Linked DNA regions of Sus scrofa. The protein of the gene in region 1 purifies or fractionates together with the protein of each later gene. This does not show direct contact. Links are inferred from orthologs where the notes say so. Each region holds a gene or a part of one and is shown in the gene's direction. Other genes may lie near its edges. The genes, in order: UBE2O, CAPZB, EPB41L5, NAP1L4, RECQL4 and RPL23.

Region 1 (4,579 bases):
GGGCCTCCGGTCCTCTCGGGCCGCAGAGGTCCTGCACCTTCCAGGTCAGACGGCAGAGCCCAGCGGCCGGCTCGCTCCCTGCAGCCTGGTTGGCGCCTCTCGTGCGTCGGCCATTCAGACCCGAGGTCAGGACACGTCTTTCGGTCTCCAGCAGAGATTGCTGCTTTCCTCTCTCCTCAAGTGCCTTGTTTTGGTGTATTTTGTTTTTTCACATACTTTTTTTTTTTGGTCTTTTTTTTTTTTTTTTTTTTTTTTGCCGTTTCTTGGGCCGCTCCTGCAGCATATGGAGGTTCCCAGGCTAGGGGGCGAATCGGAGCTGTAGCTGCCAGCCACAGCCACAGCCACAGCAATGCAGGGTCTGAGCTTCGGCTGTGACCTGTATCACAGCTCACAGCTATGCCAGATCCTCAACCCACCGAGTGATGCTAGGAATCGAACCCGCAACCTCATGGTTCCTAGTCGGATTCGTTAACCACTGCGCCACGATGGGAACGCCTGTGTTTTGTTTTTAAAGAATAAGTATCTTTCCAGTAGTTTATTTTTTAAATGATTTCAACTTAACTGAGAAATTACAGGTCCAGCTTCCTCAGCGCACACATTTCGCTCCGTTTGCTCCGGCACCTGTCCCCCCGCCATCTCTCCCTCCCTCGCTTGCGCTCTCTCTTTCCCACTTTGCTGAAATACTTGAAAGCAAGCTGCAGGTAGGATGCCCTGTGACCCCTAAATACTACCGTGTGTATATTTCCCCCAAACAGGAACAGTCTCTTTTTTTTTTGCTATTTCTTTGGGCCGCTCCCGAGGCATATGGAGGTTCCCAGGCGAGGGGTCGAATCGGAGCTTTGGCGACTGGCCTATGCCAGAGCCACAGCAACGCAGGATCCGAGCCGCGTCTGCAACCTATACCACAGCTCACAGCAACGCCGGATCGTCAACCCACTGAGCAAGGGCAGGGACCGAACCCGCAACCTCATGGTTCCTAGTCGGATTCGTTAACCACTGCGCCACGACGGGAACGCCAGGAACAGTCTCCTCTTTAACCACCCTTCAGCCCGCAGACCGGGACCCTAACCCTAACCCTAACCCTTCCTTTTCAGTTGTCCTGGTGACAGACATCCTTTTGCCCCGCCGAGCCAAGGATTCCATCAGGAACCCTTCTTGCCTTTAACTGCTCCTTAATCTCCTCCAGTCTGGACCAGTCCCCCAGTCCTGTTTGTCTTCCTTATCCTGGGTGACCCTGTGTGGGGAGCTGCCTGCTGGGGCCTCGTGTCCAGCCTCGGGCCCTACATTCTCAGCAGAACTGGGCTTTTCCCAGGCTCAGAACGTCCCACAGCCACACTGTAGGGACATGCTTTGCTCCTGGGTCGTGTTGGGCTCTGCCAAGCCTCTTCAGAAGGTCAGCATTCGCCCCTTTGCAAGTGGTAGTATCAGTTCTGAGGGGAGATGCTCAACACCTGGCCCTTCTCCAAGCCCCCCCCCCCGCCTCGCTTCCACCTACAGTCCCCCCCGCACCAGCCCGCACTCGGATGGCCGCTGAGGGGTGGTGTCCTGCTCCCGTCGTCGCCTGCCTGCCTTTGTTAGTCTGGCGCTGATGATTCGGTCTGCTGTGTGGAAGAGCTGTGTCCTCTGTCCCACTTAATGCCTTTTTTCTTGTCTTCTTTTTTGGCTGTCCCACGGCACGCGGAGTCCTGGGCCAGGGATCAGATCCCAGCCATAGTTACCACCTGCGCCGCAGCTGCGGCGGCTCCCGATCCTCTCACCCGCTGCACTGGACCGGGGTTGAATTCGCGTCCTGGCGCTGCGGAGACGCCGCCTATCCTGTTGCACCACAGCGGGACCTCCTGCCCCTTAACTCTTGTTTTTTTTACATCAGTAGGGTGCAGAGACACCTGCCTTACTCAGTTGGTTGTGAAGTTACTACCACTATTTGTTTTGTTGCATAAATGATCTCAGAGTTGGCCAGTAGGACCCCCTCCAAGCTGGCACCTGTGCCCTTTTGACAATGTCCTCACCATTTTTTTCTTCGGCACCTTCTTCCCGTCTTGTATTGTTTTCTGATCCAGCCTGGCATCAGCCGTTTCTCCAAGGAGCCCCGGTTCCTTTCAGAGAAGGGCCTTGCAAAGGCCAAGCTCTGGCTGCAGGCTGGGCGTGCTGATTGCCACTCGCCCCCTTCAGGGCAGCACTGAGGACACACGTCTGTGTGTACACGTGGGCACACGCATGTCTGAGTATGTCCCTGCCTGCTCTGTGTATGCGTTGAGACGTGTGAGTTCGTCTCAGTCCCTCCACCTCCAGTCCAGCACCTCAGACTCCGCCCCTGCCTTTCCCGGTGGTGAGGGGCTCGCCGCTGGACTTCTCCGTGTGGCTCTCTGTGTACTCACACCCCTCGTCTCGTTGGTCGGTGTAAGCCGCTCCCACTCACGTGGCCTCTGTCCTTGGACACCGTCAGGCTTCTGCCTCTGAGTGGGACGGGAGCTGGGGTGCGGCTGACCTTTGTGGGGAAAGCCTGCTGCGGTGGCTGGCGGGTGCAGCCCATCTAGAGCCTTGCTCTGCCAGGAGGCGTGGGTGCCCTGGACACCGGCGCCATCGGCCGTCGCTCAACCCCTGTCCCCTCGGTCTGCAGCCCTTCATGTATGGGGACTACATCGCCTACGACTGCTGGCTGGGGAAGGTCTACGACCTGAAGAACCAGATCATCCTCAAGCTGTCCAACGGCGCCAGGTGCGGCTCGCGTCGCCACGCGCCCTTGTTCGGCGGGGCAGCCTGGGCAGGGGGCGCGGTGTCATCTCGGGGCCTGCGGTGACGGGTTTCCTCCAGGGCCGAGCCGGGCTGCCTCCCGGGCCTGACCCTCTGACTCGGGTTCTGGGCTTCGCTCCACCCTGTCACCCAGGATGCCTGGCAGGGGCTGCCGTGGGCACTTCATGCTCGTGAAGACGCAGCTCTGGGTTAGCGGCTCTTTGTTTTAGGAGAGTCGCTTTTACCAGAGGATGAATCGTGCCTCTTTAGGGCAGCTGACACACTGACGCCCCTGGGCCACCCCGTGGATACCGACCGGCACCGCGTGGGGCCCTGGCCTCACCTCCTGTGAGGTGTCCCCGTGCAGACCAAGCCCTGTTCCCTGTTGCAGGTGCTCCATGAACACAGAAGACGGCGCTAAGCTCTACGACGTCTGCCCGCATGTCAGCGACTCTGTACGTCTGCTTATCCAAAGGGGGGCGGGGGGGCACCCGCAGAGCGCTGGGGTGGGGGGCAGAGGGGCACACCCGCAGAGAGCTAGGGGCGGGGGGCAGGGGGGCACCCGCAGAGAGCTGGGGCAGGCCCAGGCCGGCTGGCCAGGGCTTCTAGGCCAGTAGGCCAGTGCTTTCCCAGGAAAGGGCGGCTGTGTATCTGAACGCGTAAAAGCAATTGCCTGGTGGCACAGGTTCAAGCCCTGGCTCGGGAGCTTCCACACACCAAGGGTGCAAAATAAAAGGTGTAAAAGTTTAGGTGTAGAAAGTAGAACTTTGCAGCTCGTTAACTTTTTATCTCATCCTTTCAAGATCTCCCTTTCTCTTAGTGTGTATGCAGTATTTTACTACAGCATGACTTTTTTTTTTTTTTTTTTTTGGTCTTTTTTCCATTTCTAGGGCTGCTCCTGCGGCATATGGTGGTTCCCAGGCCAGGGGTCTGATTGGAACTGTAGCCACTGGCCTACGCCACAGCCACAGCAATGTGGGATCCGAGCCCCGTCTGTGACCTACACCACAGCTCCTTAACCCACTGAGCAAGGCCACGGATCGAACCTGCAACCTCATGGTTCCTAGTCGGATTTGTTAACCACTGCGCCACGACGGGAACTCCTACAGCTCCAGTTTGACCCCTGGCCTAGGAACTTCCATGTGTGGCCCTAAAAAGAAAAAAGGATTTTTTTAACTAAAAAATAAAAAGGGGAGTTCCCGGCTCAGATCCCTTGTTGCCGTGAGCTATGGTGTGGGCCGGAGGCTACAGCTCCAATTGGACCCCTAGCCTGGGAACCTCCATATGCCACAGGAGTGGCCCTAGAAAAGGCAAAAAGACAAAAATAAATAAATAAAAAGGAAAGAAAATACAGGGGCTCAGACAGCTTCAAGGACCCCTGCCGTCTAGAGCTTTGGTCCTGAAAGTGTTGCCCCTGGGACAGTGCCGTTGTTGTGGCCTGAGAGCTCGTTAGCAGCAGGACGGTTCAAACGTGCGTTTTATAGGCTCCGCGGGCATTATTTGTATGCATCTGAGGCCTGGGAGGTGCTGCCCTGGAGCCTTAGGGAGGTGGCGTGTGGACAGCATGGGGTGCAGGTGGGGAGCACCGTCCCCCAGGAGGACCGCTCACAGGGACTTTCCTCCGGCCCCGATCCTGCAGGGCCTCTTCTTCGATGACTCCTACGGCTTCTACCCAGGCCAGGTGCTCATCGGCCCTGCCAAGATCTTCTCCAGCGTCCAGTGGCTCTCGGGGGTCAAGCCGGTGCTCAGCACCAAGAGCAAGTTCCGCGTGGTGGTGGAAGAGGTAGGGCCTGGAGCGCCTCCCAGCCGGAAGTGGCCTGCTCTGAGGACAGAGGGACCCGGGCTG
Region 2 (4,579 bases), on another chromosome or scaffold:
TGTAGGGTTTGGAGAAAGATTCAGAACAAGAGAAAGAGCCTTCCTGAGTGGGGTCCCTGAGTGTCCTGTCCCTGAGTGTCCTGTTCCCTGGAGGTCACCTGTCATGGCACCGAGCTCTTGATTCTCGAGCTTTCCCCTTCGCAGTTCTGCACTCTGTGGCACTGGTTTGGAGGCAGAGTCCTCGCCACCCTCAGTCTGTCCGATGCCTTTCAGCCCCAGGGCCGGCGCCTCATACATCCTCCTGCCCTCACCTGCCTTCCGTGGCCGCCTGGCCGGGGAGACAGATGGCGTAATCGGGGTGGAGGGTGCAGGGTAACACATGGGGACAGTCTGCCTGAGGAACCTTGGTGGGGAGGGTGCGAGGGGAGCAGACCTTGGTGTGGACCCTGGGGCGCCCAGCAGGCCTGCAGTGGGTTAGAGCGGTGGTGCCCTGCAGCTCAGCAGCGGGAGGAGGGGTAGCTTCTTCTGTCCGATGGTCTCTTGGTGACATCCTGGTGTATGTCACGTTCTAGACTTTGTACAGAGACTTTTTTTTTCAATCTCTTATACAAAGACTTTTTAGTTTGAGAGAGTTTCAGATTTACAGTGAAATTACTCAAAAAAGAGTACAAGGAATTCCTTTATACCCTTTACACACATTCTCTAAACATAGCATTTATCATGTGTATTTTTTCACTATAGAACAGCTTTATGAGCAGAGCGTTGTTGCTCTGTTTTTTTCCTCCTTATCTCCTGTAAAATATCCATCCCAAAGGATAGGAATATCCAACAACAGTGATCACTCACTAGTATACTCCCATTGAGTATCTGTTACATGTCACACACTTCATCTGGAAGGAATGTGAAGCCTGGCGAAGGTTCGTGTTTAGTAAGCTTGCCAAAGGCCACAGAACTAGCGTAAGTGGCTGCTCAAACTCCAGTTCATCTTTAGGACTCCTAATTCCGTGTTCTTTCTGTGACACCCCCCCCCCACCAAAGGGTGCTTTGTCCCCCCCGCAGCCAGCGCTGATCAGGACACATGCGCGTGTCAACCCTGGAACCACTGTAGGGAGGGTCCTTAATCCGAGACGGGCATTTAGATGAATCTTTGCCACATGGCAACCCGTGGGACCTGGGCTGATGCTTTGTAATTTGATGGGCTTAACATCTAATGGGCAGTTGGGCCTGTTTCCTTCAGGTATTTTGAAGGCGGTGTCTCATCTGTCTACCTCTGGGATCTGGATCACGGTTTCGCTGGCGTGATCCTCATAAAGAAGGCTGGAGACGGATCAAAGAAGATCAAAGGCTGCTGGGATTCCATCCACGTGGTGGAAGTGCAGGTACAGCTCCCCGCAGCTGGTGGCCCCAGCGGCGCAGCCTCTTTTCTAGCAGGTGCCTCTCGATGGGGAGTTTCTGTGACGGGTAAACCCCTGCTGGGCCCTTAAAGTGCCCACAGCCATTTGGATAAAGATAGGTCAGGAACACAGTAGTCACTGATGAAAAAGATCAGCAAAGAACTTGAATACACATGACTGCAGATTCGGTCCCTTTAAAAACCAGCTGGGGTGTTAGAAGGTCAGGCCGTGGTGACCTCTGAGGAGGGGGCATGTTAGGAGGACCTGAATTCATGGGCCCCTTCAGGCTCTACTCAGCTCAGGGTTGTGTCTCGTCCTGCAGGAAAAGTCCAGCGGTCGCACCGCGCATTACAAGCTGACCTCCACGGTGATGCTGTGGCTGCAAACCAACAAATCTGGCTCTGGCACCATGAACCTCGGAGGAAGCCTTACCAGACAGGTAGAGTGATCAGGGCCCAGGGAGGCGGCCTCAGAGCTGGCCATGTGTGGAGTTGAGCGGGTGGGTGTCCCCGCAGAGATGTCCTGGGGCCTGACCTCCTCACAGGCTTGTTGGTGAGTCATTCCTGAGATTCAGTAACGGAAGGCTTTATCTCGGGTCAAGACATGTAGGACAGGAGTTCCTGTCGTGGCGCAGCGGAAACGAATCTGACTAGGAACCATGAGGTTGTGCGTTCAATCCTGGTCTTGCTCAGTGGGTCAAGGATCCGGCATTACCGTGAGCTGTGGTGTAGGTCACAGACTTGGCTCAGATCCCATGTGGCTATGGCTGTGATGTAGGCCGGAAGCTGTAGTTCCGATTCGACCCCCAGCCTGGGAACCTCCCTGTGCCGCAGGTGTGGTCCTGAAAAGCAAAAGAAAAAAAAGTAGGACATTCTACTGGTAACGTTTTAGAATGGATTAATTAATTGTAATTAAGTCAAGTTGGGACTTAGATTATGTATTATGGCTCTTGGTTGCAAGTGACAGAAGTAAAACTCTGACTTAAGCAAAAACGGAAACAGGTCTGCTCACGAAGTTGTCGGTTTCAGAGTTCATTCAGCCCGGCTGGGTGTTAGACACAAACGATGGGGGCAGGTCCCTGAATCCCCACATGGGAGCTCCTGGAGGCAGCATCTCACTGCCGGATCGGGTTACCGTCCATCTCAGAGTCCTTTCCTGAGGCCGGAGTCAGGTGACTACCCACCGTGGAGTAGATGGAACAGGGGTGTTGATTCCCTGGAGTAGAATCACCATCAAGGGAGGGGCGGGTACCCCCACCTCTTTTCCCACGCATCACTGCGAGGCCAGGGATTTCCCATTCTGTTCTTGTGCCACTGACCTTTCTTAAAAGGAGGTTTTTACCTGGGCCCTCCCGTTTTGGTCTTTGTCCATTCTGCCAGGGACGGATAGTCACATCTCGCTTTCGGTCGTCCAGGTGTTAGGTCTTCCTTCCGGCTTTGTTCCCTGCATGTTAACTCAGATGACTTGGTGTCTCCATAGTAGTTCAAGGCCAAATTCAGAGCCCTCCAGCATGGCTACCAAAGACTTCCACGGGCGGAGGGATGGGTCTGATAACCATCCTTCTAGGGCACTTGTCTTTAGCTGAGCTTGTTCAGCTCGAGCCACCATGAAATAGAGTTCACATTTCTAGATAGATGCATTTGAGCTCCCTGTGGTTGAACACCGCCTGCTGGCTCCCTGCCGTAGTAGGACCAGGTGACTGCAGGGTCGGCCCTGGCTCTTTCTCACCCTCAGGGCTCAGTGCGTCTCTGCACCTTGGGCTCCTTTGAAGCAGTGAGAAGCACTGCTTTGCCCTGGTTCCCATCTCTAGTCATGAACGTCCTGACCAGGAAGGTGGGCACTCTGAGGGCCTCTCCTCTGCAGCCTGTCCTCTGCTGGAGGGCACCTTCCAGCATCAGCACCACCCAGGAGCTTGTCAGAAATGCAGGGAGCTTGGCCCTACCCAGACCCGCCAAATCAGGGTCTGCCTTTCACTAAGCTCTCCAGATAATTTGTGTGCACAGTAAAATTTGACGAGTGCTACTCTTTGGGGTTCTGCACCCAATTCCTTCTTGTGGGGTGGTTCCCCATGCCACCACGAAGCAGACATCAGCAGGGTGTCCTACAGTTCACCTGCTAGTCTGACGCCCTACCCAGAAGTGGCCTCAGGTCCCACAGGTTAAGGACTTAGTCCCACGAGACCTACTGCCCCCGTTCCCTGAATGCATCTTCAGGCGCTAATGGCAAATTCAGGTGGTCACCTGTGCTTTTGACTTACTGGCTACAAACACCAGGTTCCCACAAGCCCATCCTTGGGTTCAATTTATTTGCTAGAGCAGCTCACAGAACTCGGGAAACCCATTTATTCATTAGATTGCAAGTTTATGACAAAGGATATTAAAGGACACCTTTATAAACCCATCCTTGGTGGGGGTTTGTGGGACTTCATTACAGGGGCATGACAGATTAACTCATTGGCCATCGGTGATTGATTCACTCTCCAGCCCCTGCCTTCCCCTAGTGGACTACAGGTTCCACCACCCCTCTATTCATGGTTGGTTCCCCTGGCAACCAGCCCCCATCTTTAGGTGCCTTCCAGAAGTCGCCTCAGTAACATAAACCCAGTTGTGGTGAAAAGGGGTTTGTTATGCGTGACAAGGCACCTGTTTTTCTTTCTGGCCCCGAAGCAATTGATTTTAGGAACTGAGAACAGGAGACCAAAGAGAACAAAAGATGCTCCCATTGCTCTCCCCGCTCAGGAAATTCCAAAGGTTTGAGAGCTGTGAGCCAGGAACCATGGATGAAGACCAGATGTCCATGAGGAATACAGTCCGGTCATCTGAATGACTAAATACATATTTCGTAGAAGTCACAGTGTCACAGCTGCTGTGTGCCCGTCTCTTGCTCTTAGGCATAGGTGTCTTGAGCAGCTCATCTCCGGGGTGTCTCTTCCAGGGGTGTCTGAGGTGAACTGGGTGCTTGGACTGGAAGGTGCTGCCTCCTCTGAAGCGGACTTGTCTTAACCTCTGCCTCACACCTGCCTACTTTGAGCTTCTAGGCAGGTCTAAGGCCCTTATTTTAGGGTCCATGTTTAGGACTCTTAACAGCCGCGTCCTAAGGAAAGGCCTTCACTCTGCGCAGTGCAGGGTGTGGTGCCCTTTGTGTGACAGGAAGAGGAAGCACAGACCAGAAACCCTCGGCCTCAGAGAAGGTGATCCCGGCAGCAGTCAGCATCCTTGAGAACAGCCTCAGGAGGGCCTTGCTCC
Region 3 (4,579 bases), on another chromosome or scaffold:
CTGCACCAACCCATATTACATACCTCTCAGTTCTGTTACTTTATAGTTTGGGTTTGATCAATATTAGTGTTTATATTATTATGACTGAAATTATTAGCTGAGTCATTTAGTGCACTGTGATTACTTTTCTTTTGTCTGCACAACCTGTTTTCTCTGTGACCTTATGCAACTCTTAGTTTTGTAAATTAAACTTTAGGTTAGCCAGGTAGTTTTTATGATGTTTCCATTTTATGTCTGCTGTGTTTAACTTGTTTAGATTACTTTGATTAACCTTAATGTTCTTAACAGAGATAAGGAAAGAGGTAGCATTAATTTGACATTGTAAGGAATTATTTATATTAAGCAGCAATTTAAAATCTGTAAGTAATAGAGTATTTGATAAAAACTTATATTTACATTATATTTGTATTTCAGCTGAAATAGGTGATGATTTTTGTATTTTTACTATGAATGCTGAGAGAAGAAAAGGAACTTCCTAGGATTGTTGTTATTATCAAAGGAAACCTCAGTGTATGGCTTTGTCTCCTAATGTTTGGCTATCGTACCTATAATTTATTGGCCCAAAAGACCTGATGAACTTCATGAATGTTTGCCCCTCTCTTACTAGATTAGTGCCCTATAAAATAGTCCAGAAAGTTTAGAAATGCTTTAAGCCATAGTTCTATTTTGTGTTACAGTCTTTAAAAATTATGAATTAAAGTAGCCAGATTTATTGTCTTTAAATTTACTTGGCCAGGTGCTCTTTTTAATAACTCATCTGCTAATGTTGACAGAACTTTCCTAAATGACACCATCTGTCTGACTACAAATTGTAAGGAGACTTCTGATACCTTTTTCTCTCTGGTTTTGTAGTGACCAAGATGCTGAGCTTCTTCCGCAGAACCCTCGGTCGGAGGTCGATGCGTAAACATGCTGAGAAGGAAAGGCTCCGAGAAGCTCAGCGTGCTGCCACGCACATCCCTGCGGCTGGAGATGCGAAGTCTGTCATCACGTGCCGGGTGTCCCTCCTGGATGGCACTGATGTCAGTGTGGACTTGCCGGTATGTAGGTCTTGCTGACCTAAAGATTCTCCCTGGGGTCACTTTTCTTCTTCTGAGCTTTCCACCGCTAACTTCCAGAGGGTTAGGTAACATGGGCTCCCGTGGATCAGGTAGCCTTAGACACCTGGAATGAGAGTATTTCCCTGGGATTAGTGGCAGTTAACTGAAACTTTCAAGTGTTAGGGCAATTACTGGCATGAGTCTTGTATGTGTGACAGCAGTATGGAGTGTACTCTAGTGGATTTCTCACAATCCTTGTTGAGCTAGGATTAAAGCAATAAGAATCTTTGGGGACGATAATGATACTTATGTGGATACTATAAGACTTTTAGTTCTCGATATTTTTTTGTAATTTTCAAAACACTCCTTACTTTCCTTAAAACAAATAATTCCTCCAGTTTGATGTGCTTGCTGAAATTTTAATGAAATGAGGTGAGTAAAAGGACTTTCTTCATACTCCTCAGCTCTGGCTGTTCTATCTCTGTTCTCAAAGTAGTTTGCAAAGTAGGTTTTTCCATACAACCTGTTTTTCCATACATATGCTGTAATCTTTTTTTCAAGAGTGGATGTTACAGTTATATCACATTTTGAGATTTTTTTGCAGTTATGAATAATCATAACTCAAAGTATGAAACAGTCCAATATATTTGAAAGGGGCTAACGTATTCCTTACAGGTCTTTTTTTGAGGGGAGTGGAAGAAGTAGCTGTATGGTTTGGGGGAAGTTGAGTTTTTTCCCGAGCTGTCTGCTCTTTGTCCTGTATTAAAAGATTTACGTAACCAAGCTGTAAAATGTGTGAGCTGAGGTGTCTTTGAATCTTCCACATGTCTTCCTTCCCCACAAACGCTTTTTACTACATACTCATTCACCCAAAATGCAGTTTAAAAAAATCTCTTTGTGCAGCAGGATAGCCTGGGTGTTGCTGCATTACAAAGTTGAATAAGCTCTGCAAGGCCTTAAACTCACAGAGTGAGAGATTAAAGAGTTGGATGGTTTGTTTAAATGAACATTCTGATTGATCAAGTAATTTAGAATGACTAAATATGTTCCTTATACTTTTTTTTTTTTAAATAATGGAATATGAGGGAGTTCCTGTAGTGGCCCAGTAGGTTACAAACCTGACTGGTATCCATGAGGATGCGGGTTCTATCCCTGGCCTCTCTTAGTGGGTTAAGGACCCAGCGTTGTCATGAGTTGTGGTGTAGGTTACAGACGCGGCTCAGATCCAGTGTTGCTGTGGCTGTGGTGTAGGCCAGCAGCCTGCAGCTCATATTTGACCCCTAGCCTGGGAACTCCCATATGCCCAGGAGGGCCCTAAAAAGAAAAAGGAAAAAAAAAAGGAATATGGTAAAATTAAGAACAGGATATCTTGAAATGTTTTGAAGTCATCTTTTTGAGTATTATATTTGTACAGAAATATTTGTATACTGTCTGAAAGACTTTAATGCATTTAAATTTTCTTCCTAAGGGTTTGTCAGACATTCTAATATGTGATACTTTGTGAGGGTAGTTTTCACATTCATTTCTTAATTTGATAAGGATCTTAAGAGTTTTGTGTACTATTCCATTAAAATAGCATTAGGTATGTGGTCAAAAGCTTGAGATTGCTGTATAAGAGAGTGGAAAGAAGTTTCTTATTACCTAATGTCTGAAGTATGAAGTCTCAAGGTGATTGATGGGGAGGCTGATACCAGGAAGGTGGAATTTGAAACGGAGTTTTTTGAAAAGGTGACATAGTGTGGATGAGAAAGCAGCACTGGGTTTTAAATAGTGGAACATAGTGGAACAGACGGCTAGTGACTGGTATGAAATGGCTTCCTTTGCCTCAGGTGCTCAGTAAGCAGGTGTGTGATGCTTGATCAAGGCTAGAAATGTTGGCTGGCCTCACATGCAGACAATTGCTGTGAAAAAGCCAAGATTTGACTCTTTGTGGAACCAGAACAATTAATTGCCTTTTCAGCTCTGCAAGCGAAGTATTAGTATGCTCACTCTAGGTGCTTGTATGGATATAAAGTGGGTGTTTCCCTCCCCGCCACCCCCCTCTGCTGAAATGCCTTAGTAAAGACAAGGGCTAGAGGAATACTCATTTCTATGAAGAAAGGTTTTCTCTTTCTCTTTTCTTTTTTGGCCGCTACACAGCATATGGAGTTCTTGGGCCAGAGATCAGATCACAGTTGTGACCTGTGCCACAGCTATGGCAATGTTGGATCCTTTTACCCACTGTGCCGGGCTGGGGATCAAACCTTCGTCCTGGCACTGCAGAGATATCACTGATCCTGTTGCGCCACAGTAGGAACTGCAGTTTTTTTTCTCTCTCTCTCTGTTTTTGTTTTTGGTTTTTTTTTGGTTTAGCTTCTTAAACAGTCTAGTATGGTTCTGAAAGAAGATTTAGAATTGATCTTAGAAATTGAATGAACACATGCTTATTTCCTATTAGGATGAGGGTCACTACTGATCTTAGCAAGCAGCATGAAACTAAGATGATCACCCAGGCAATAAGTAAGGAATTATCTGTAATTAAGTAGAGAAATTTAGATCTAGCCACCTCAGGTTAATATACACTAGTAGTAATAGTTAATTTCTTCTCTTTCCCTTTCCTCTCAAAATTAGAGGAGGGGATTTAAATACCTTCTACTTATTTTTTTAAAGGAACTAATATAGTGAGAATGCCTTTTGGTAAATGATGATGGCATGAGGTAGAAATTTCTAATCATCTGATTTTAGAATTTACTCTTTGGAAATGCTGCAGTAACTCATTTGATTTAAGTTATATAGACTATTATACCTTTAAATAAATGTAAAAAATTCTATGTTCACAAATTGGAAGACTTAACATTGTTAAGATGGCCTTACACCCAAAACTGACTTGCAGATGCAATGTAATCCTACCAAGGATATCACACACCTTATTTGTAGATGTTGACAAGCTGATTTTTAAAATTCATATGGAATTTCAGGGGGCCCATAATAACCAAAATAATATTTAAAAAGAACAAAGTAGCAGGGCTTATATTTCCCAGTTTTAAAACTTACTTATAGGGGGTTTCCTTTGTAACTCAACAGGTTCGATCCTTGGCCTTGCTCAGTGGATTAAGGATCCAGTGTTGTCATGAGCTGTGGTGTAAGTCGCAGATGTAGCTCAAATCCTGAGTTGTTGTGGCTGTAGCGTAGGCCAGCAGCTGCAGCTCTGATTTGACTCTTCACATGGGAACTTCTGTATGCTACAAGTGAGGCTGTAAAAAGCAAAAACAAAACCAAAAAACCACGAAACCTTACTATAAACCTTACTATAAACCTTACTATATAGTAATCTGGATAGTGTGATTTGTTGGTGCAAGGATAGACATGTAGACCAATGAAACAGTATAGGAAACTGAGAAATAAATCCATAGAGCTATGGGCGATTGATTTTTGACAGGTACCAGAGCCATTCAATGAGGGAATGAATAGTCTTTTCAGCAAATGGTTCTAGAACAGGATAGCCATGTGCAAAAGAATAAAATTGGAACCTTAACTCATACATTGACAAAAATTAACTC
Region 4 (4,579 bases), on another chromosome or scaffold:
AATAAACTTCTAAGGTTTTCTCGGTTTAGGTTCTCTTTAGTGTAAGGAATGGGCCCGAGCACGTGAACACTTAGGAAGCCCAGAGTTATTCAGTTTGTGTGCCTGATGGTGCTGGTGGTAGTGGTTTGTTTTTTTATGCTTTCAAGTCATGTCAGGCCTGGGGCAGGCTGCAGTGGCAGCACAGAGAGTCCCCCGTGTCCTCTGCTACACGTGTGGGGTCGGCTCAGGGCACCCGTGGCAGCCGTGGCTGGGGACCACCACCTGCTCTGCTCAGCATGAGTCTTCTGGCAGAGAAGTAGCAACCGCACTGCCTCTGCCGGGCAGGACAGAGAGAATCTTAGACTTCACTGGGAAGCCGTTGTCCATTAGTCACCTCCACGGCTGACCTGGCTGTAGGCGCGTGTGTGGACGAGGCCGCCTCACCCTTGGGCCCTTTTCTGCTGGGCCGTTGACACCCTGTAAGTCACCCCCGGTTGTGTTCGACTTTCTCTCGACTAAACCGAGGCCTGGGGAAAGGAGAAAAGTGGGAAAATAGGAAGAAAGGAATAGCACCCTTCGTTTGGAGAAACGGCAGGGGGGAAACGGGGAGAGAAGGAGGAAAGTAGGTAGTCTGTCCCGACAGAAGTTAGGGAGCGATGAAGGAAGCGGTGTCGCAGTGCCATGTCCCCTGGGTGGCCTGTTCACACCTGTGGTCATGGCCCAAAGCACTTCTCAGTAGCGGTGGTCTCTCCGCTGACGGCCTCCTGCCTTCCGTCTGAATGTTGCTTCAGGGGCAACCGAAAGATCCTGTTTACAGGGGGCTGGGGTCGAGGTCTGGAGTGGGGGTCCCCCGAGGTTCTGGGGTCCCCGTAGCTGCCTTCTGTCCTCACTGGACCAGCAACTTGTTGAGGGGCTTTTTGAGCCCCTTCCCCTCCAGCCCACACCACCTGCCTGAGGTCAGTGGAGACCTGGCCGGACTCTGCCACCTCCCTTCTGGGCACCTGCTGGACTGCCCCCGTCCCTCGGAGCCCTTGTCTGCTTGCTAAGCACAGACAAGCACCACCCCTTCTTTGGAGGCTTCTTTTTCCACTTCCCTTTGTGGAAGTGGTTTGGTTTTGGTCTTTAAAAGAAGTTTTTCCTCCGTGATGGTTGTACCATTAGAATAAAAACGGAAAGAGCTAACATTCAGCAAGTATTGCTTGTAAAGCCAGCCCTGTTCTAAGGGCTTCCATAGATTCATCCTCAGGTCAACTCGTGGAGGGAGAGGGTTGTTTATTCCATTTCACAGGTGAGGAAATGGAAGCCCAGAGACAGTGCGTAAGTTCCCAGAGTCACACAGCACTGATGGGCAGAGGTGGGATTTGAACCCAGACTTGGTCCTGTGGACCGACCGCCTCTGCCGTGCGCCGAGCCCGGCTTGCCATTGGCTTTATGAGTGGGGCGGGGGTGGACGTCTTCCCCCCGGGTCGCCGCATCCTTCCTAGTGTCTTTCTCAACCGGGGCAAATTCCTCAAAGCGCAATTCATCAGTCCCAGACGATTTAGCTGGTTAATGTTCGCTGCTGCCCCTGTAGAGCCCTTCACGGGGTACGAGTGCTCCCGGCTTCCCAGAGCACTTGCCAGTCCTGGGTGTGCTTTGGACGTTTTGCTCAGACGGGGCGTCTCATTTTATTTTTCTTTTCTTGTTTGGGCTGCATCCGTAGCATATGGAGGTTTCCAGGCTGAGGGTCCAATTGGAGCTGGAGCCGCCGGCCTACACCACAGCCACAGCAACGCCAGATCCGAGCTGCATCTGCGACCTACACCACAGCGCGCGGCAACGCCGGATCCTTAACACACCGAGTGAGGCCAGGGATCCAACCTGCAACCTCTTGGTTCCCAGTCGGATCCGTGTCTGATGCGCCACCACGGGAACTCCTTATTTTTCTTGTGCTTTGTTATTTAAGAGCGTGAGTATCTTCTTTGTTGCCGCTGCTCTCTTCCTGCTGCTCTGTCCTTACACCTGCTCTGTCCCCACTTCTCCGGTGCTTGGCTCCAGATGTGCAGGATGCCTGGTGAGCGAAGGACAAGCTCGTCCTTGCCGTGGTCGGGAGAGGCCCACTCGTTGCTTCCTTTTCTCCCCCACGTGGGGTTGTGCCCCTGAGTCGGGGCTCCCTGACGCCCGCGTGCTCCCTCCAGCTCCCGCCCCACTGACCTCGCGGGAGGCGGGGCAGCGGGGAGACGTGCCACTCCCCGGGGGAGCTCGTTCTCCCCCGGCCGGGTTGTCAGAGCCGCCCGTGCCCCTTCTCGCGCACTGAAGGGTGCCGGCTGCTCCCCGCCTGCCGCCACGTCTTGACTTTGCGCTGGAGTTGTCGCCGTGGCGGCCCCTTGCGAGGTTTGCGGGGAGCGGCGTGCCTGGGGAGGGGCTGGCTTCCAGGAGGTGCTGTGTGGGTCCCGAGACGGCCGCTCAGGACCCTAAGCGGTACTTACCCGGGCTTTGTTCTCAGTCTTTCGTGTTAGAATTCCACTTTGAGCCCAACGACTACTTCAGCAACTCAGTCCTGACCAAGACGTACAAGATGAAGTCAGAGCCGGACAAGGCCGATCCCTTTTCCTTTGAAGGCCCTGAAATAGTTGACTGTGACGGGTAAGGAAATGCCCTTTCCACTTCCCTTTCTGAGAAAAAAGCCGATGGTTTTAGAGCTTTACAAGTAAGATAGAATTTAAGAATAAAGCACAAAGCCCAGTGGACAAAGATTGGAATAAACGAGCCGTCTAAGTGGGGAGGTGATGGCCAGCGCTGGGAAATGGCGCGTGTGTCGCTCGTGCCAGGGTCTGGAGAGGCGGCCTGGTTCCCTCGTTTGGGCGAGGGCGTGGGGCTTTCTCGTCACCTTGGTGCAGCGCTGATCGTTGACTCGCGGACTCCTCGCAGCAGAGGCTTGTGGCGTGGGTGGCGGTGCCCACACTGGGCCGAGCCGGGCGGTACTGGGCAGTAGCTTCGCTGTGGGCCTGGTGGGCAGTTTGCGTGCTGTTTGCCGCACGATGAGCGCCTTGCTGGTTTCAGTCCAGATGCGTCACCAAGGAGAGAATGGTTTGGAGGTGATTGATGCCCTTTGGTTGGTTTGAGACGGTTTGGGAATTGGGTTTTTTTGTTTGTTTGTTTTTGTTTTTTTCAGCGGCCACACCTGGGGCATATGGAGGTTCCCAGGCTAGGGGGTCCAATCAGAGCTACAGATACCAGCCTACACCAGAGCCACAGCAACACCAGATCTGACCCACGTCTGCGACCTACACCACAGCTCACGGCAATGCCAGGTTCTTAACCCACTGAGCGAGGCCAGGGATCGAACCTGCAACCTCATGGATACTGATCAGATTTGTTTCTGCTGCGCCACGACAGGAACTCCGGAATTGTTTTATGCTTGGTTGAAAAGGTTACTCTTACTCACGGAACCAAACACTTAGCTTTACGAATCCCCAGTGTAACGCAGAACTCAGTCCAAATCCTCTGGGCTCGAATAGCCAGTCATTTAGACGGGTCGTTTCCCAGGGCCAGGCCATCGTGGGAGAAGGCTGGCTCTCCGGGCGTGTCCGATGCCAGGTGGCACCTGTGGTCCACCGTGATGCAGCCCGAAAGCTCGCTGCTCGCGGTCCCCGCCAGTGTGCTCGGCAGCCCCGGAGCGTGCAGGCCTGCGGGTGGCCAGGTCTGCAGCGGCCTCCTGTTTGCTTTCTCCAGCTGGTGCCACTCCGTCACCTGGAGATTTCGGGTCCCCGAGTAGGTAGCTTCACGGGCTGAGAGTTGTGAGGGGACAGCAGGCGACAAGGTCTTCGTCGGCCTCGGGCTCAGGAAGAGCCCTGCCGGAGCCCGCCTCCGCCGGGACGGCCCGCCGCGACCCGCCCGGGGGTCCTGCAGGCCCTCGGGGAGCAGCGCTTGCTGGCAGCTTGTCGGAGGAGGCCGCCCGGTCAGGCTGGAGCCGGGGGTGCTGGCTGTGCACACGTGGCCGGTTTTTCTCAGGGAGGGCGACCCCGTGACCGCCGTCTCGTCCCTGTAGGTGCGCCATTGACTGGAAGAAAGGCAAGAACGTGACGGTGAAAACCATCAAGAAGAAGCAGAAACACAAGGGCCGAGGCACCGTCAGGACCATCACCAAGCAGGTCCCCAGCGATTCCTTCTTCAACTTCTTCAGCCCGCTCAAAGGTGAGCCCGCCCGGGCTGCGCGGGGCGCGCGCTCCCTTTGGCTTTCGGGTCTTTCTGCTGCCCTGATGGAGCAGGCGAGGGGTGGGACGCACGTATCCTGTGACAGGCACAGACGTAGGGCAGAGCCCTGGCCTGGAAGCGTCTTGTTTCCCCCTAGTTTTTAAAACAGGAGACGGACCCTTCGAGCTAGTGGAGGCTGAGCAGCTGACTTGGAGAACTGGAGGGCCAGAGCTCCCGGCCGTGTGCCGGTGTGGCTGTGGGGGCAGACACTTCCTCTTTATTTTCCCCAAACAAAAACCAGTTTGCAATGAAGAGGTGCGGGCCCTGCTTTAGGCAGTTGGTGGGCCTGGGGCCGCAGGGTGGCGTCCTCTCCCGTGTGACCTCATGTCCCTGTGACCAGTCCGTTGTGTCTTTACTCTTGGGG
Region 5 (5,342 bases), on another chromosome or scaffold:
GAGTGGAGAGGAGAACAAGGCCATGCCTGGTCCCTGCCCTCCAGAAGCATGGGGGCCACCTAGAGAAACAAAGCCATCAAGCATACGAAATACATAACCAGCACGCTACCAAAGACGCCCAGCTCGCCTGGGTGTGTTTTTGATGGCTGTGGCTCTGCAGCCCCGCCCCGCCTCTGTATTTCAAGCCTCTCCAATCACAAAGCCATATCTTCCCTTCCTGAAAAGTAGGAAAAATCTAAGGCCCCTCTCCCTACACACAAGTACTAGACGGATGGGAGAATCCCAGGGGGCTGGAAGGTGCATCACAGGGCCCTCCCCCAGCCTCCTCGGAAGCCCTTGCAGGCCACCCTTAGATTCTGTGCTGCACCGCAAAGAGGAGTTGCCTGTACAGTCGCAACTTAATAAACACCAAGGCAGGCAGAAAGGACCAGGATCCAGGGAACTTTGAGTTCAGAGGGCCTGAGTAACCCAAGCCCTTGACATGAGCCTCACTTCTAGTGGTATCTCTCGGGAGCATCATGAGGCACGGAGACCCCTGCAAATTTACGGAAGCAAGAAGGAGGTTGTTGCCACCTGTCTAAACACCTCTCTCAGCCCTGGAAAACCCTGTTGAGAGACCAATTCTCAAACCAGTGGGATTCAAAGGCCCCAGACCCAGGCCTTTGCTCAGATGGGCGGAGGCCAGAAGGACACGCAAGCTTCCGGGGAGCAAAGAGGAGATGCCTGAGGCCACAGTAAACCTGGGCGTCAGCTCTGCTGCTGACTTCAGCAGCAGCAACAGTTAGCCCGCTTAACTGGAACCTCTCAGGGGACCCTCTTTTCACCCGCCAGGGGAACCTCTTAGGGCCTCTTTACTGTGCGTCAGGCACCTCACCCTCACAACTGCCTCCGGGTCATCTCCCTGGAAACAGATGACAAAACTAAGACCTAGGCATTCCCCACAAAGGTCACAGCCTGGGTGATGAGCTCGGGAAGGGTGGCAGCCTAGCCCCAGAGCCCCTCTCTTGCGGACCTCACACACAAGTCCTTAGGGCACTGGTTCCTGAGGAGCCCGGGACGTCAACCCTCTGCCAGGCTCCGCCTGTGGACAAATCTCGCGAGGACGAGTCATACCTCGCAGCGACGGGACAGACCAACCAAGCACCTGTCACGAGAGGAAACGAAAGCAGCCAGTATGGTCACCGTGGGAGGAGCTTCTCTGCGGTGGCCGCCGCCCCCTCCCGCGGGCCCGCGGCTCAGGCGTTTCCCCGAGGACGCCCCCGCTCGGCTCCTCCAAGCCTCGAGCCATGGGAGGCCCTCGATCCGACGCCCTCCGCCTCCTGCGCCGGGTCTTACCCCTTGAAGCCTGTGCGTTGCCCCCCGAGACCCGAGACCGCTTAGCCCGGCGCCGGGCTCCGGGTTCTCTCCACTCCGCAGCCGCAATGCCCGGGCTCCTGCCTGCGCCTCCCGGACGGCACCGGCCCGGCTACCCGCGCCCGCCTAGTGCGGCCAGGAAGAGCCAGGACGCACACCGCCCCGCCCCGTCCCCGGCCGGTGGCCAACGCTCACTAGCCTCGCAGCCGCCACCACCGCGGACGGCCCCGCCTCGCCGTACGTCGCCCCCAGCCCAGCGCCGCCGCGCGCCGCGATGATGTATTTGCCCGCCCATTGGCTGCCGCACCAGAGCTCCGCGGATAGGCTGCACCGGCCCGGCGGCCGCCGCGCCGCCCCGCCTCCGACCCCGCCGAGCGCCCCCATTGGCTGGCGGCCGGCGTCGCCCTCCCGGCGGGAGATTCGCTGGGCGCGGCAAGCGGGGCTGCCATGGAGCGGCTGCGGGATATACGCGAGCGTCTGCAGGCCTGGGAGCGCGCGTTTCGGCGGCAGCGCGGGCGGCGGCCGGGCCAGGTGCGGGCTACCCATGGGCGGGGAGCTGAGGGTGCCGCCTCAGACTAACGCGCTCCCTTTACAGGAGGACGTGGAGGCGGCGCCAGAGGAGACCCGCGGTGAGCGCGCGGGCGCGGGGCGGAGGGAGCCCTGGGGACGCGGGCGGGGGCTGGTGGGTGAACGAGCGGCCCGCACCCCCGCCGGAGTCTTGACTCCTGAACACCGACTCCCCTGACCCCGCTCTCAGCGCTCTACCGGGAGTACCGCGCTCTGAAGGAGACCCTGGGCCAGGCCGGCGACGTCAGGCCTAACAGCTTGGGGCGTTCGCTTTCCGCGGCGGCCGAAGAGGTACCCGGGCTGGACATCTGAACCTCTCGTTCAGCTCCCTGTACGCCGGTGCCACGAGGAGCCGTGGCCCAGGACACAGAACTTGGGGGGAGGATGGAGAGGGTGGAGCAAGGCCTGCCCTGCCCCCCCCAGGTCTCAGGGCGCGGGTGTGCGGGAGGTGGCTGGAGACACCTCTGGCCCCACGCCGGTTTTTCCGTAGTTTAGGTCAGTACTGTCTCATCCTGCAGACGCTGGAGCCCAGCTGCTGGGGGCCCCACCTGAATCGGGCTGCGACCCAGACTCCCCATTCTACCTCAAGGCTGATCCCTCAGGGATCTGTGCAGGACTATGGGAAGAGGCTTAAGGCCAACCTAAAGGACAGCCTGCAGGTGAGGAGTGAGGGTTGGGCAGGAAAAAATTTTTTGAGTTAAAAAAAGGGGGGGAGGTTGGGCAGGCAGTACATCGAACCTATCTCCAGAGCTGCTTGTTGCCCCAGGGCAGATCACCAGGTACCCGTCCTTGTGAACTCCTCCACACAAGCTCATCAGCTTGCACATGCACACACACAACTCCAGCGTTAACCAGGGCACCACTCCTCGGAAGAGTTCAGGGCAGCCTTTTCTCAGCTTCCTTTCTTCACCTGTCAGTCTTGTTCTCACCCAAGTGTTACGGTGGAGACTCCAGCAGGTTTCAGGCTTCGGCAGCCCAAGGGCCTGAGCTCCTGCTTGCCTGTCTCCCTCCCAGACCGGGCCAGCCCTGGGCCGAGTACCTCGGCTTGAACGAACACCCTTCTCCAAGAAGTCCTCCCCAGGGTCTCCAGGCACAGCGGCTGCCCTCATTTCTCCAGAAGAAGTCGGCAAGGTGCCCTCCCAGCTTCCCAGGACCCAGCTGAGGTCAGGCCGGCTCCAGGAGCTGAGGGCATCCCTAAGCTTGCGGCTGAGCTCCCTAGACCCTGGCTGGCTGCAGCGGTGTCACAGTGGAACCCCAGATTTTCCGGGGGTCCCCAGGGCCCGCGGGCCTGGCGGGGATGCAGAGGAGTCACAGCTGACTTCAGGTGTCCCGTGTGTACTCAGTCCCAGCATTGGCCCCAAGGTACCTTTACTAAGCCCAGAGGCTCCAGCGCCACAAGCAGCTGGTGTCAGTGCAGGCAGTCCCCAGCCTGGTAACAGTCAAGGCAAGAAGCGGAGACTGAGTTGGGAGCTGCAGGGGAGCCCTGCACAGCCCCAGCAGGATGGTAACCAAGGAGGACCCCCACCTGAGGGCGCTGCAGCTGCAGGGCACACAGAAGATTGTCTAGAGGAGCCTGTGCGGGCACAGCCCCTCAGCAACCCCACCACCTCCAGGTATCCCTGCTCTGGCCCCAAGCGGGGTTGCCTTCCGTTAAGTCAAGGCGAGTGGGCATCGCGCACAGCCCACCTGTGCATCTCTTCTAGACCCGCCATCCAGGACAGGGGGAACTATGTGCGGCTCAACATGAAGCAGAAGCGTTATGTGCGGGGCCTGGCCCCACGTAGCAGGCTCCTCCGCAGGCAGGTAAGGAGGTGGTGCCAGGTGTTCCCTCTTACTCATCCTACTTCTCGGTTTGTGACTCTCTTGTGTCCCTGCCAGGTGTGGAAGCAGAAGTGGCAGAAGAAAGGAGAGTCTTTTGGGGGTGGTCAACCCAGGGCCACAGCCAAGGATTCCTGCTTCCGGTGTGGGCAGCTCGGTCACTGGGCATCCCAGTGCCCTCAACCAGGTGAGGCCTCTGCCTTGGGTGGTTGCTTGAGCCCACACTGCTTGGAAGGGGAGGCAGTTCTGTCTCCAGCAAAAAGCCCTACTAACTCCCTACCTCTGGTCCAGAGCCTGCCCCTCAGAAGGAGGGTGGCAAGGATGAGGATGACACAGGGACTCTGCCCATGTTAGAGGAAGTACCCCAGAGAACGGGCACCACCTGCTGCCAACTTCCTGGTGCGTGAAGGAGCGGACAAGAGGTTGGAGCAAGTGGCCTCCTTTCCGGGATGAGCCCAGACCAGCCTGGAGCTTTTGTGCTACCCTGTCCTGTCTGCTCTTGGCAGGTGAGGAAGACACAGAGCCTGCAGGGCCTGAGCTGTCAGTGCCCATGCAGTCATCTATGCCCAGGGCGCCCTGTCCACCACCTCCTCCCGTGCCCCCACTCTACCCGCTGGGACCGTCAGGGCAGGTGGCAGGTGAGTAGCCACCTACCATCCCAGTGCCTTTACTGAGGAGGTGGGGGCGTCTCGGGGCCATACCGCCTGACACCTGTGCCTGCAGACACCCCAGCCGAGGTGTTCCAGGCCCTGGAGCAGCTGGGGCACCAAGCCTTCAACCCTGGACAGGAGCACGTGGTCATGCGGATCCTGTCTGGTCAGTTTGGTTGGCAGGGGGCTGTGGTGGGGCCAAGGCCGGCCACAGGGTGGCACTATTGACCCTCAGAAACATCCAGGTATGTCAACACTGCTGGTGCTGCCCACAGGGGGTGGCAAGTCTCTGTGCTACCAGCTCCCTGCGCTGCTCTACTCCCGGAGAAGCCCTTGCCTCACGTTGGTCATCTCTCCCCTCATGTCACTCATGGATGACCAGGTGGGTGGACAGGGCCCCTGGGCACATGCAGAAGGTGAGAATGGGTAGCCACCGCTCCGTCAACCTACTTGGGCTGTTGGTTCTTGCTCTGCCCCACCCAGCGCTGCAGAGAGCCTGGCTGTTCACAGCCCCAGGCCCCCCAACAGGAGGAACGGCACTGGGGGAATGACACCCCCCCCCCACTACCTGTCTATTCCTGGTGCTCCTGCATCAGGCCCGCAGGTGGCTCTGAACCCTGAGTCGTGGGACCCAGGATCTAGGTTTCTTCTCCTCAGAGGGCCCGAAGTTGAGAGAGCAGTGGTTGGCAGGCCAAACCATCCTAAGAGTTGTGTGGGGAAGGGCCAGGGTGGGTGGCATCATGCTCCTGTATCTGCAGGTGTCTGGCCTGCCCCCAGGCCTGAAGGCGGCCTGCATCCACTCAGGGATGTCGAAGAAGCAGCGGAACTCTGCCCTGCAGAAGGTAAGGGGGCCTAAGGGCCAGATGGGCAGAGGGAGCAGTCCCCTGGAGGCCCTGTGCAGTTGTCCTGACCTTGCCACCCTCAGGCTCGATCAGCCCAGGTACAAGTGCTGAT
Region 6 (5,325 bases), about 18 Mb from region 1:
CGGAATGGAGATTCCCAGACTAGGGGTCAAGTTGGAGCTGTAGCTGATGGCCTGCGCCACAGCCACAGCACTGCTGAATCCAAACTGCATCTGTGACCTACACCACAGCTCACAGCAATGCCAGATCATTAACCCACTGAGCAAGGCCAGGGAGCAAACCTGTATCCTCTTAGATGCTAGTCAGATTCATTTCCACTAGACGGAAATTCCTCATTTTTTATTCTTCTCGTTCTTTAACACCCCCACACTTTGTTGGCTTTACCTCTGAAACACATCTGGAATCTGATCACATCATATTACTTATACTGCTAGCACGTTAAGTCCAAACCACCACCGTTTTTCTCTCCTGGGTTATTGCAAGAGCCTCCCAATAGACCTCCTTACTTGTATCTTTGTGCTCTCTCTAGTCTCAAGTAGAGTGATCCTTCTGACATATTTTCAGATCATGTCCCTTCAATGCTTATGAGTTAACCGTTTCCCATTTCAGTCTGTACATATCAAAGTCAATAGCGGTGTACAATGACCTAAAGTTCCATTACTTCTGACCTTCTGTCCTACTACTTTTCCCTTCATTTACTCTGTCCAGTCACTCCTAGGTTCCTTGCTGGTCCTCATATCGCTCAGGCACATTTCTGCCTTAGGGCCTTTCATTGGCTGATGACTCTATCTGGATTGCTCTTCTCTAGACAATCATATTGTCCCTCAGCTTAAAACCTTTGCACTAAGGTCACACTTCTTCCATGAAGCCCCCACTGATTTTGAATTGCAGTCTGCCCCTCCTCCCACTCCCAGATCCCCCTTTTCTACTTTTATTTTCATAATACTTAAACCATCTAACATACTATATAGTGCAATTATTACATCTATGATTTAGTATCTAATATCCACTTTCACTGCCACCCTGGCAGAATGTAAGCTTCCTAAGGTCAAGAATATTGATCTGGGAGTTCCCATTTTGGCGCAGTGGTTGGTGAATCGGACTAGGAACCATGAGGTTTCGGGCCTTGCTCAGTGGGTTGAAGATCCGGCATTGCCGTGAGTTGTGGTGTGGGTTGCAGACGCGGCTCAGATCCCGCGTTGCTGTAGCTCTGGCGTAGGCCAGCGGCAACATCTTTGATTGGACCCCTGGCCTGGGAGCCTCCATGTGCCATGGGAGCAGCCCTGGAAAAGGCAAAAAGAAAAAAAAAAAAAAAAAAATATATATATATATATATATAGAGAGAGAGAGAGAGAGAGAGAGAGAGAGATCTGTTTCCTTTGACGTAGTCTAGTGTATGTCCAAGACAGTATCTGGCATAAAATAGTCATTCAATAAATATTTGAATGACTATATCAACAGAGCTCCTTTGAAGAATGGGAAAGACAAACAATGAAAAGAGTAATGAGTAAAACAAGACTCTAAAATATAGATGAATGTGGGACCAAGCACACATATAAGGAATTATCTGTAGCGCTGGAATGGCACTTCTCAGTTATATCACATCCTAATGAAACTATTTCGAGCTCTTTCTCACTCCGCCCCCCCCGCCACATGTTTTTTGGGGGCCCTTATACAGCACGGATGTTTTAATCATTTCTGAACCTCTAGCGTCCATCGAAATCCCTGGTACACACTTAGTGCTCAGAAGAGGTTGTCCGATAAATTAAACCAATGTTTCTGTGTCCCCAACAACTACTTTCCAACTCGTACAGTAGGTACTCAAGCACTCTTTCTCTTCTGTAGCCTTCAAAGATTCCACTGCCCACTTCGAAGCGAGAGACGGCAACGTCCACGATTTATGACGTAATAAGAGAACGCCCCGGGGAAGGGGCGGACACGGCAACTCTGGATCACGTGACCTGAATGGGCGGGGCGTCGGCTTCATATCCCAAGGTCCTTTGTTCTTACTTCCTTTTCGTCCTTGTCGGGCCATCAAGATGTCGAAGCGAGGTGAGGCTTTGGCTTGGGGAGATCCTTCGCCATCTGTCGCGAAGTGGCTGCTGGCCTCACCCGGAGCTGCGGCGACGGGCAGCTGGGGCACTCTGCTTTCCTTTGGGGCGGAGAGGGAGTGGATGGGCACCAGGACAGTCCCCGAAATGGCGGAGGGGCCTGGAGGATTGAGTTGGCAGGATCCAGTCGTGATTCTAGTCGTGAATCCCCCGGGAGGTTGCCCTGCGCCTAGCACTGCAGTAATGGTGTTGGAGTCAGGCTAGCTTAAGCCGCAGAGCGGGCGACTTGTGTGCGGTCTCCCGCCTTGGAGGAAGAACTGCGTGGTACAAAAGTTGGATCGGGAATTGTGTCGTCCAGGCCCCCTAATCTCAATGTGAGGTTGTAGGAGGGAGGAATTGGATATTTGCCCTGAGAACTGAGTGGCATTGGAGAGGGGGTAAGTGGAATCCTAGAGAAATCGAATCTATAGTGTACCGTTTCCCAAAACACATGCGAATGAATTCATAGCTTGAGAATGCGAAGGGAACTCCGAACCATGACTGGACAGTGATCTCTCTTCTGTCGCCCTACTAACAGGACGTGGTGGGTCCTCTGGTGCTAAGTTCCGGATTTCCTTGGGTCTTCCGGTTGGAGCAGTGATCAACTGTGCTGATAACACGGGTGAGATCTTAAGCTGCAACCCTGCCAAATTCCCCTTTCTAAAAGCACTCAGAGGGCCTTTTGCTCGTGACCTTCTGAGCCGCCAAGAAAGGGCACAGTAAAAACACCACTTTTGGGTGAAGCGGCAGCAAGTTGTGCTGTTTTGCTTCAATCGGTGGTGTGACAAACTATTTCACCTGGTGGGGGAGTGGAACCGCTTGGGGGTGTGAGTGGAGAGAGAGGCCTTGGAAGTGTCGGAAATGCAGGACTGCCTAATCGGCCCTTCAAAAAGACCATTTTTGTTTACATCCTTTCGTAGGAGCCAAAAACCTCTATATCATTTCTGTGAAGGGGATCAAGGGACGATTGAATAGACTTCCTGCTGCTGGTGTGGGTGACATGGTGATGGCCACAGTCAAGAAAGGGAAACCAGAGCTCAGAAAGAAGGGTGAGTAGACAGACCAAATCTTCCTTATGGTTTCTGGACCGTTGAACCACTTCTCCCTTTATTGGAGAATGAAGCAATAGTTTGGTGTGTGTTTTGTTTTGTTTTGTTTTTTAACCTCTCAGGGCCTCTTAATGCTTGATTTCCTTTGAAAGACATTGTAAGATAAATACCTGCAATTTAAATTCTGTTCCTGCTGTCTTTAGACATCATTCTCTAATCTTAGCTTCCTCCCTTACTGCTTAAATTTGTTTGCTACACTGAAGCCAAAGCCTATCTTTAAATTTTTTTTTTTTTTTTTTTTTTTTTTGCTTTTTAGGGCCACACCCTGGCATATGGAGGTTCCCAGACTAGGAGTCGAATTGGAGCTGCAGCTGCCAACCTATGCCAGAATCAGACAGGATCTGATCTGCGTCTGCGACCTACACCACAACTAACAGCCACCGCAGATTGTTAACCCGTTGGCCAAGGCCAGGGATCAATCTCGCAACCTCATGGTTCCTAGTTGGATTCGTTTCTGCTGTGCCATGATAGGAACTCCTTAAAATGTAAATCCTATCACTCCCGTACTTCAGTTCTCAGTTGGCTTCCATCTTAAGCTGGGGGTTCCACATATTTACCTTGGTATTTCCCCAGCAAGTTCAGCAGAGAGTTACAGACCACCTCACATACCTATGAAAGCAAAAGCTTATCCTTTTAGAATACCCAGGTTCATGGTGTGTTCCTCAGCTCTTACTATTCCTTTGTTCTTTCTACCAGGAATTCGCTAAGTCTCATCTTCAGCTCACAACCTTGTTGACACCTTTCCTTACCCCAATCTCCCCTCTCCACATAACCCTTAAACCAGGTGGTAATTTGTGCATGTGACATTTAGAGCTGTCTCTTCTACTTGAGTTCCATAAGCATTGTCTGTAGATAATAAATTCCTTGGCTGCAAATGAACATGGTGGTATTTGGTAAATACATTTTTGTAGGTGTGTTTTGAGCTCAACCAGGTGAGATCACAGATTTAAAACTTAATGTCTACCTCTGGCAAATTTCTTTTCCTGAAACTACTAATTTGAAAAGAAACAATGATATGTAGTAGAAACTAGAACAGCTGTTCATTGCTTAATCATCAGGCTACCCCCAAAAGTTTTATCACTAGGTATACCAATTGGGCAGGACTTCGGCACCTCTGACCTACTCTCTTTAGACGTTTAGAGCTTCTGATTCTCAATGCACTTGAGCTCAGTTCCTGGAATTTTCTCCTGTGCCTGCTTAGTTTTTCTCTGCCCTGGGGTGTCTTTGCTCTTCCTGAGAAGTCCTGGCCATCTCTTTTTATTTTTTTGTCTTTTAGGGCACATCAGCAGCATATGGAGGTTCCAGGCCTAGGGGTCGAATTGGAGCTGTAGCCTCTGACCTACGCCAGAACTACAGCAACGTAGGATCTGAGCCATGTCTTCAACCTACACCACAGCTCATGGCAATGCTAGATATCCATAGCCCACTGATCGAACCCAAGTCCTCATGGGTGCTAGTCGGGTTCGTTAACCACTGAGCCACAAAGGGAACTCCCCTAGCCATCTCGATATGCAGTACAAATGTGATAGGTGTCTGGCCTGTGTCACTGTAGGCCTGCATCCCACTCCCAGGCCTTTTGGTCAGAAATCTTACTTTGTTTGCCTCCAATACTCACTTGAGGGCTTGGGAGACAAGGAATAAGTAGCTTTGTGGTTAAACATCAGTTAACCAATGTGTAGATCGGGATCAGCATGCAGCTGGACAGGCGTTCCTCTTAGAACACTTGCTGGGTCTGATCTGTGGCCTGGGGAGCTGTCAGAGAAGGGCAGAGCAATTGGCCACCACTGAGTGAGATGGCAGCAGGATATGCTGTCTGTCTCAATCAGTGTGGGACAGAGAGAACATACACTTCAACTATAATGCTTTGGTCCTTGTTTCTTCTAAATGAATTCAGGTGACCCTTGAATTGCATGCGTCCACTTAAGTATAGTTTTTTTTTTTTTTTCCATTAAGTATATGTTACTATGCTGCATTGCCTGAGGTTGGTTGAAGCAACGTGTTTGGTTTTTCTCCCCCTTTTTAGGGCCACAAAATGTGGCATATAGGAGTTCCCATCGTGGTGCAGCGGAAACAAATCTGACTGGGAACCATGAAGTTGCGGGTTCAATCCCTGGCCTCATTCAGTGGGTTAGGGATCATGCGTGGCTGTGGTGTAGGCCGGCAGTTGTAGCTCCGATTTGACCCCTAGCCTGGGAACCTCCATATGCCATGGGTGTGGACCTAAAAAGCCAAAAAAAAAAAAAAAAGT

Evidence for each region.
Region 2: the proteins of UBE2O (region 1) and CAPZB purify together in Homo sapiens (affinity purification with mass spectrometry; 3 studies listed by BioGRID and IntAct, with this or other methods). This does not show direct contact. The link is inferred for Sus scrofa from reciprocal best matches to the Homo sapiens genes UBE2O and CAPZB.
Region 3: the proteins of UBE2O (region 1) and EPB41L5 purify together in Homo sapiens (affinity purification with mass spectrometry; 3 studies listed by BioGRID and IntAct, counting the BioPlex papers as one, with this or other methods). This does not show direct contact. The link is inferred for Sus scrofa from reciprocal best matches to the Homo sapiens genes UBE2O and EPB41L5.
Region 4: the proteins of UBE2O (region 1) and NAP1L4 purify together in Homo sapiens (affinity purification with mass spectrometry; 3 studies listed by BioGRID, with this or other methods). This does not show direct contact. The link is inferred for Sus scrofa from reciprocal best matches to the Homo sapiens genes UBE2O and NAP1L4.
Region 5: the proteins of UBE2O (region 1) and RECQL4 purify together in Homo sapiens (affinity purification with mass spectrometry; 3 studies listed by BioGRID, with this or other methods). This does not show direct contact. The link is inferred for Sus scrofa from reciprocal best matches to the Homo sapiens genes UBE2O and RECQL4.
Region 6: the proteins of UBE2O (region 1) and RPL23 purify together in Homo sapiens (affinity purification with mass spectrometry; 3 studies listed by BioGRID and IntAct, with this or other methods). This does not show direct contact. The link is inferred for Sus scrofa from reciprocal best matches to the Homo sapiens genes UBE2O and RPL23.

What each region holds. Positions count from the first base shown.
Region 1 is NC_010454.4:5,099,410-5,103,988, forward strand, and holds part of UBE2O ((E3-independent) E2 ubiquitin-conjugating enzyme), read left to right. Parts: intron 1-2,620; coding exon 2,621-2,718; intron 2,719-3,124; coding exon 3,125-3,188; intron 3,189-4,372; coding exon 4,373-4,516; intron 4,517-4,579. UniProt on the Homo sapiens protein: E2/E3 hybrid ubiquitin-protein ligase that displays both E2 and E3 ligase activities and mediates monoubiquitination of target proteins. Negatively regulates TRAF6-mediated NF-kappa-B activation independently of its E2 activity.
Region 2 is NC_010448.4:77,793,628-77,798,206, reverse strand, and holds part of CAPZB (F-actin-capping protein subunit beta), read left to right. Parts: intron 1-1,177; coding exon 1,178-1,319; intron 1,320-1,656; coding exon 1,657-1,773; intron 1,774-4,579. UniProt on the Homo sapiens protein: F-actin-capping proteins bind in a Ca(2+)-independent manner to the fast growing ends of actin filaments (barbed end) thereby blocking the exchange of subunits at these ends.
Region 3 is NC_010457.5:31,285,577-31,290,155, reverse strand, and holds part of EPB41L5 (band 4.1-like protein 5), read left to right. Parts: intron 1-852; 5' UTR 853-860; coding exon 861-1,040; intron 1,041-4,579. UniProt on the Homo sapiens protein: Plays a role in the formation and organization of tight junctions during the establishment of polarity in epithelial cells.
Region 4 is NC_010444.4:2,079,213-2,083,791, reverse strand, and holds part of NAP1L4 (nucleosome assembly protein 1-like 4), read left to right. Parts: intron 1-2,464; coding exon 2,465-2,604; intron 2,605-4,009; coding exon 4,010-4,155; intron 4,156-4,579. UniProt on the Homo sapiens protein: Acts as a histone chaperone in nucleosome assembly.
Region 5 is NC_010446.5:285,461-290,802, forward strand, and holds the start of RECQL4 (ATP-dependent DNA helicase Q4), read left to right. Parts: upstream 1-1,745; 5' UTR 1,746-1,800; coding exon 1,801-1,884; intron 1,885-1,948; coding exon 1,949-1,982; intron 1,983-2,110; coding exon 2,111-2,211; intron 2,212-2,438; coding exon 2,439-2,579; intron 2,580-2,934; coding exon 2,935-3,723; intron 3,724-3,798; coding exon 3,799-3,925; intron 3,926-4,029; coding exon 4,030-4,137; intron 4,138-4,244; coding exon 4,245-4,376; intron 4,377-4,461; coding exon 4,462-4,554; intron 4,555-4,633; coding exon 4,634-4,770; intron 4,771-5,146; coding exon 5,147-5,230; intron 5,231-5,313; coding exon 5,314-5,342. UniProt on the Homo sapiens protein: An ATP-dependent DNA helicase which unwinds dsDNA with a 3'-overhang in a 3'-5' direction. Does not unwind more than 18 bp of dsDNA. May modulate chromosome segregation. The N-terminal domain (residues 1-54) binds DNA Y-shaped DNA better than ss- or dsDNA.
Region 6 is NC_010454.4:23,278,074-23,283,398, forward strand, and holds the start of RPL23 (60S ribosomal protein L23), read left to right. Parts: upstream 1-1,891; 5' UTR 1,892-1,917; coding exon 1,918-1,930; intron 1,931-2,506; coding exon 2,507-2,590; intron 2,591-2,888; coding exon 2,889-3,017; intron 3,018-5,325.